Linked DNA regions of Macaca mulatta. The protein of the gene in region 1 interacts with the protein of each later gene in a pairwise test. Links are inferred from orthologs where the notes say so. Each region holds a gene or a part of one and is shown on either strand. Other genes may lie near its edges. The genes, in order: SAR1A and SLC38A7.

Region 1 (3,815 bases):
ACAAGAGTAATTATTTCATCATTTTAACTAGGCTTGCTCTAAGCCAGTGTATTTTCTTCTATACCTTTTGCCCAAATTTGTTAGTCTCCTCCTCCCTACATAATACATATTAATACTTACTTTTTATTAACTGTTTGTGAGCATATCATGCCCCTTTACTCTTTTATACTTTAGTGCCGTTTTCTAAGAACAAAGATATCTCCTTGTATATAATCATAATAGTTATCAAATCAAGAAAGTTTTATTTTTATCCAATCTGTATTTCCTTTTTTTTTCTTTTTTTTGGTCAGTTGTCCTGATAATCTCTTTTATACCATTTTTTCATCTTGACCAGGTATACAGTATCATATATTTAGTTATCAAGCATTTTTGCATCCTTTATTCAATGGAGTGAAAGTATGTAGGAAATTTAACTTAAATATTTGTAAGTAATTTCAGACTTGTCAAAAGTTGCAAAAGTAGTACAGTGACTATGTGTGATTACTCTAAGTTGATATTTTGTATATTCTATCCATTTGGGACAGTTGGTAGAACATTTCCTTCTACCTTTTTGCTTTCCTTAGAAGTGCTTTTTGCCTACTCAGGCTATGTCTTTGGCTACCAGATTCCTATCAGGTGTTTAGAGACATACAGGATGGGCGTCTTTGTCTAATGGGCACTCAGTTCACATTTGACAAGACAGTAGGTATAGGAGTAAAACATTTAAGATGTGAGAATAAACATTCTGGGAAGGTAGGGAAAAGGAACTATTGAGATTCTGTCAGATTTACTTACTTGTTACTACATTGAGTGGAGAAATCTCATTTTGAAACATTAGGTTGAGCTAATACCATTTTTTTTTCTTTTTTTTGAGATGGGGTCTTGCTCTGTTGCCCAGACTGGAGTGCAGTGGCATAGTCTTGGCATACTGCAACCTCTACTTCCTGGGCTTAAGCAATCCTCCCACCTATTTTTTGTAGAGACTGGGTTTCTGCCATGTTGCCCAGGCTGGTCTTGAACTCCTGAGCTCAAGCAATCCACCTGCCTTGGCCTCCCAAAGTGCTGGGATTATGGGCGTGAGCCATTGTGCCCAGCCTAATACAGTTTTTTGTTTTTTTTTTTTTTTTTTTGAGACAGAGTCTCACTGTGTCTCCCAGGCTGGAGTGCAGTGGCGTGATCTCGGCTCACTGCAAGCTCCGCCTCCTGGGTTCACGCCATTCTCCCGCCTCAGCCTCCCAAGTAGCTGAGACTACAGGCGCCCGCCACCACGCCCGGCTAGTTTTTTGTATTTTAGTAGAGACGGGGTTTCACCATGTTAGCCAGGATAGTCTCGATCTCCTGACCTCGTGATCCACCCGCCTCGGCCTCCCAAAGTGCTGGGATTACAGGCTTGAGCCACCGCGCCCGGCCCTAATACAGTTTTAAAACAATGTGTAGTAAAATACAACATTGGTCATTTCTAGTAGTTAAGCCTAATAATTTTATAGTCAGTTATTTCATTAACATATAATTACATTTTAATTAATTTATTTAATATTTATGCCCTAAAAAATCATGTATATTATGATCATAATCACATAAAATACCAGTAAAGAAAAAAGACTGGAAGAAAATACCAAAATATTGACAAGGGGTGTGTTTTGATGGAGGGATTAGAAATGATTTTGTTTCCTTTTTTATGTAAGGAGCTTGTATTTTTTTTCATTTGGGTAAGAATGGGTATATGGTGTCCTTTCTGCTTTTCCACAAAAGGATTTGTAACTGCTTACAAATTTAAATTCAGAGCAAGATACGACTGAACCTAGACCATCTGGAGAATGCAGAAGGAACAGACACCAGATGGTTTTATATACCTGAACTGGGAATTGTTGATTGTTTGGTGTGATAAATTTAGGTTTCAGGTTTTGTTAAAATAAGAAGGGAAATGTATTGATGTATTTAGTTTTGTTTCTTTGACTGAGGAAAATCTACTAAACAGAAACACTTTTACCTAATAACCTAGCCACCATTTTATAGAAGTTACTAAAATACTGTACATCTGGAGGTTCCTTTTTTTTTTTGTATAACTTAAAAATTTTAACTTATAAAAGGAGAGCAGATTTGATATAACAAAATCGGTATAGAACTACAGAAAGTAAAATGGAAAGTTCCTTCAACCTCTTTTTCCTAACTCTACTCTTTAAAGGTAACCATTAATAACTGATGTAGAGATGCTTCGTTATTCATTCTATTGCAAGGGCTAGAAATGAATGGCTTAGAAATGATAGTAAAATTAAATCACTGCTTCCCAGCCTTTATCGTTTCATGTCACAAGCAAAAAACAAGTAATATTTCTAAGGCATGCTGGGTTAAATATGGTAGGCTGAGATAACTGGCCTGGGGCCTTGAACCACTTGTCAGGCCCAGTCTCCCTAAGGGCTAAGCAGAGGAGTGTGTCAAGACACCTACACACAAGTTGGCTAGAAACTAACTGGGACTAAAGTTACATGGACAAGTAATTTGTATCCTGATGTTTTAACTCAGAGGTTGCAAATTCAACTTGGCTCCAGGGGCAAGGCAAGTCATTTAAGTGAGTAAAATTGGCTGACTGTAAGACAGCAGGGACATTTTGTCAAGCAAAAGTGTTCAGACATCATCTGAAGGGGTAGCCACTGCTTAGTTCCTGCTGATAGTTGTCATGTGGATAAGTAGGCATGGGGTTGCCAGATGTTGCAGTTTTTCAAGAAAGGTGGAAACTCTGATTTTCAAATTTACAAAAATCAAGTTCAACTCGTGGACCATTAGTTTGCATCCTCTGTTCTAAATTAATACTGGCCAGAACTTGGAGAAATCCATAGAGTCTAATCTTACTGAAACCTGACCAAGATTTGTCCATTTTAAGACCATTAGGTTATTCATTTTTACAATGTATATTTTTTACTGATGCAACTACAAACTTTGTTTTTTAGCACGTCGGGTTTGGAAAAATTATCTCCCAGCAATTAATGGGATTGTCTTTCTGGTGGACTGTGCAGATCATTCTCGCCTCGTGGAATCCAAAGTTGAGCTTAATGTATGTTTATATACTTTGTCCTTTTTTGGCCTCTATTTTTTTTTTTTTAAGAAATATAGCTCAGTAGTGCCAATAATTAGTAATTCCAGTTAACATTTGGCAAAAAGACCTAGTTGCAGGAGGAAAATGTTTTAAATCTAAGACATTGCTTTTCAATGTCCTGAGGAAACTCAGCTCAAACTTGAATAAATTAACTGTTTTTTCTATCATACAGTGACTATATGGCCAAGTTTGCTCAGGATACTCCTCATTTATGCCTGTTGTCCCAGCATAATTAATTAATTAATAGTATTCCATTTCACGTGTCATCATGAACAGTAATTTTTTTTTTTTTTTTTTGAGACAGAGTGTCTCTCTGTTGCCTGGCCTGGAGTGCAGTGGCGCAGTCTCAGCTCACTATAACCTCCACCTCCTGGGTTTGAGGGATTCTCCTGCCTCAGCCTACTGAGTGGCCTCCTGGGACTACAGGCACGTGCCACCACGCCTGGCTAATTTTTTGTATTTTTAGTAGCGACGGGGTTTCACCGTGTTAGCCAGGATGGTCTTGATTTCCTGACGTCATGATCCACCCTCCTTGGCCTCCCAAAGTGCTGGGATTACAGGCATGAGCCACCACGCCTGGCCCACGAACAGTAATTCTTTATAAGTAGTGTTGGCACAGTGAAAGCCTAAAAGCAATATTAGAGTTCTTTACATTTTTGAATCTGCATTCTCAGCTTGTGCCTACCCACCCTCCCACTGAATGACTTGCCAGACCTTCATGGTCTGTTCTCAGCCTTCAGTT
Region 2 (3,815 bases), on another chromosome or scaffold:
ATTACAGGAGTGAGCCACCGTGCCTGGCCAATGCCTGGCTAATTCTTTAATTTTTGTAGAGATGAGTCTCACTATGTTGCCGAGGCTGGTCTTGAACTGGCCTCAAGCGGTTCTCTCATCTCAGCTTTTCCAAGTGTTGGGATTATAGGTATGAATCACTGTGCCTGTCCCCTAACACTCATTTCTCTCTCTTTTTTAGAGACAGGGTCTCGCTCTGTTGCCCAGGTTGGAGTGTAGCGGCATGATCATGAGTCTCTACAGCCTTTATCTCATAGGCTCAAGCGATCCTCCCACCTCAGCCTCCAAGTAGCTGGGTCCACAGGTGCATGTCACCACACCTGGCTAATTTTTAAATTTTTTTGTAGAGATGGAGTTTCACCATGTTGCCTGGCCTGTCTTGACCTCCTGGGCTCAAGAGAACCTCCCATCTTGGCCTCCCATAGCTGAGATTATAGGTGTGAACCACAGTGATCAGCCTTATCTCTTTCTAATTTTTTTTTTTAAACTGTACTATTACACTGGTCTTTAAGTAAACAATAAAAAAAAATTAATTTTTTTCACAGGCTTATTTTCTGTCTCCCCAGTCAGAATATGAGCTCCAGGAGAACAGGGATTTGGCTATTTGCCTCTCTTATTCCTGGCTGTGTATTCAGAGGCTAGAACAGTACTGGCCCAGGCAGCTCCTATTGTCTGTCCATGGAAAGAACTCAGGGGATCCTTCTTCCGGGGTCTCCTAGACTTGCTCACTCATCCCAACCACTCTCCACACTGCAGCCAGAGCCATCTTTCCCCGAACCATCCCCCCTGCTTAAAACGCTTCCTCTCTGACTCCCAGAAGCCCTCAAGGTCCAACAGGATCTGGCTGCCAGTGCCTGTCTGGCCTCACTGCCTGTCACCTGCCCCCATCACACACCACTCCAGCCACGCAGACCTTCTTCCTGGCCCCGCCTCAGTGATTTGGTGTTTTGTGGTTCTTCTGTCTAGAACCGTTCTCCCCCAGCCCCTCCTCTTCTGGCTCTTTCTCATCATTTGGGCCTCCTCTGAGAAGAACTTTCTATGAACCACTCCCAAAGCCACCCATCCAGTCCCATTCATACCTTCCCCATTTTAGGCTGGGTTGGTGGCTCACGCCTGTAACCCCAGTACTTTGGGAGGCCGAGGCAGAAGAATTGCTTGAGCCCAGGAATTCAAGACTAGTCTGGGGAACAGAGTGAGACCTTGTCTCTGCTAAAACAAAACAAAACAAAACAAAAAATTAGCTGGGCATGGTGGCACATGGCTGTAGTCCCAGCTACTCTGGAGGCTGAGACAGGAGGATCACTTGAACTCGGCAGGTTGAGGTTACAGTGAGCTATGATCATGCCACTGCACTCCAGCCTGGGTGACAGTTTCTGAGACCCTTTCTCAAAACACAACAAAATAGAACAAAACAAAATACACCTCCCCGATTTCACTGTCATCAGGATGCTCGCCACCATCTGGAATTCCTTACTGATTCCCTAGTTACTCCTGCATGACTGTCTCTCCAACAAGAATGTCAACTCCATGAGGGCAAGACCAGCTCCATCTCTCTCCATGGCATCCCCCACACTGAGAACAGTTCCTGGCACTTCCTAGGCACCAACTTAGAACTGGTGAATGAATGGATGAATACGCCACTCTCATCTTGGCAGGAGGAGGCCCCAGGCAGGCCAAGTTCAAGCCAGTGCCTGCACAAGTCATGCTGGGAATGCAGGGCTGTCCCCAGGAAAGCTGGGCCCCAGGACCTGCGGACACCTGTGGAAGTGAGAGCACTCCAGTCCCAGGTCTAGGGGGGAGCACTCACCTGTCCCCATGTAGACAGCGAGGGCTATGACCATGGCAGCTGTCACCACTCCACCCCAGGTCTTCACTTCCGGCCGCTGCATGCTGTTGAAGACGGGCACACTGCTGACGTGGCACTGTCCAGGCGAAGGGCACGGTCATGGTGGGGAAATGACCTCACCCCCAGTTTTCAGAGGAAGGTACCTTGGGAACAAAGACCCCAGGGACAAGGGGCAAGTCCTGAGGCCCCTGCTCTGTCCTTCCCCCCAGGATTTCCTCCATCCTGCCTGGGTTCCTCCTCCTTCCTGGGTTCCAACCTGGGGTGGGGTGACCTAAGAGGACAGCAGGGACCTTGCAACTGGCACTGGCACCTGAAATCCGAAGCAGATGGTGGGCATGGCATTGAACACAGCCATCCAGGAAGCCGGCCTGTGAACAAACACACAAGGTGCTGCCACCTGGGAACTCCTCGGAGCCACCAACCCACCCCACACCCTCACTTTTCATTCAGCCTAGCATGGTCTCCAGCAACTGGCATTCTATAGGTTCCACCCACAGAATTCTGGGAACAGGGAAAAGAGGCATCCCTCTGTCCCAGGCCCCGCTGGGAGGGGGCCTGGAGGCTCCAAAAAGCCCCCTAGGACCAAAATCCAGAATTCCTGGCTCCTGGACTGGGGATTTTGCTTCACTGGTTTGTTTCTCTCAAAAAAAGGAAATTTTTTTTTTTTTTGAGACGGAGTCTCGCTCTGTCGCTCAGGCTGGAGTGCAGTGGTGCCATCTCAGCCCACTGCAATTTCTGCCTCCTGGGTTCGAGCCATTCCCCTGCCTCAGCCTCCTGAGTAGCTGGGACTACAGGCGCCCGCCACCACGCCCGGCTAATATTTTGTATTTTTTTAGTAGAGACGTAGTTTCACCATGTTAGGCAGGATGGTCTCTATCTCCTGACCTCATGATCCGCCTGCCTCGGCCTCCCGAAGTGCTGGGATTACAGGCGTGAGCCACTGCGCCTGGCCCTGGTTTTTTTTTTTTAAATAATAAATTCGGCCGGGCGCGGTGGCTCAAGCCTGTAATCCCAGCACTTTGGGAGGCCGAGGCGGGTGGATCACGAGGTCAGGAGATCGAGACTATCCTGGCTAACATGGTGAAACCCCGTCTCTACTAAAAATACAAAAAACTAGCCGGGCGTGGTGGCGGGCGCCTGTAGTCTCAGCTACTTGGGAGGCTGAGGCGGGAGAATGGCGTGAACCCGGGAGGCGGAGCTTGCAGTGAGCCGAGATCACGCCACTGCACTCCAGCCTGGGAGACACAGCGAGACTCCGTCTCAAAAAAAAAAAAAAGGTTTAAATAATAAATTCACCCTCAAAGATATAGAAATTACAGATAAGCACATGCTGGAAACATGGGCAATTCCACCCTGGGATTCCACCCTCAGGTTCCTCCACAACCCAAGGCCTAGCCTCACACTGGTTCATCTGTTGGATGTGGGTGGCAAAGTGCCTCCTGTCTCTGATTCTTGCTCTTCCCTCTAGTAACATGAGATCAGGGGCTCTTTCCTCCTTCCTACAATGACCAAGTCAGCCCTGATGAGCTCATGAGCCTTGAGAAGAGCACCTGTGTGGCCTTCTGGTTCCTGACCCAGCACCTGCTGGGGCCCAAGTGGTGGCTTCTTCCCCATGTCTCCTAGGGCCCTCACCCTCACCTGGTCAGGATGTCCCCTGGGGTCATCTCTTTATCTGGCCAGATGTACTTGATGATAACGATGGCTGTGACGTACCAGGTACCCACGACGCTCAGGAAGCTGCCGGGAAGGAGAGACTAAGTGTCCTCATCCCCAGCTGCCTCTTATCTGATTCCACCCCTAGGGACATCCACCTTCAGCTCTAGTGACCACAAGTGTCCACTGAATGAACCAGGAACTATGCCAAGCAAAGACTCAGTAAATGCCTGAGAAGTAGTTTCAGAGAAACCTGCCACAGCTAGGAGGGAGCTGGACAGCCAAGAGGGGACCCGAT

The links.
Region 2: the proteins of SAR1A (region 1) and SLC38A7 interact in binary tests that used the Homo sapiens proteins (3 or more experiments, as listed by UniProt). The link is inferred for Macaca mulatta from reciprocal best matches to the Homo sapiens genes SAR1A and SLC38A7.

What each region holds. Positions count from the first base shown.
Region 1 is NC_133414.1:79,473,696-79,477,510, forward strand, and holds part of SAR1A (small COPII coat GTPase SAR1A), read left to right. Parts: intron 1-2,927; coding exon 2,928-3,031; intron 3,032-3,815. UniProt on the Homo sapiens protein: Small GTPase that cycles between an active GTP-bound and an inactive GDP-bound state and mainly functions in vesicle-mediated endoplasmic reticulum (ER) to Golgi transport.
Region 2 is NC_133425.1:54,295,354-54,299,168, forward strand, and holds part of SLC38A7 (sodium-coupled neutral amino acid transporter 7), read right to left. Parts: intron 3,602-3,815; coding exon 3,503-3,601; intron 2,233-3,502; coding exon 2,175-2,232; intron 1,941-2,174; coding exon 1,826-1,940; intron 1-1,825. UniProt on the Homo sapiens protein: Symporter that selectively cotransports sodium ions and amino acids, such as L-glutamine and L-asparagine from the lysosome into the cytoplasm and may participates in mTORC1 activation. The transport activity requires an acidic lysosomal lumen.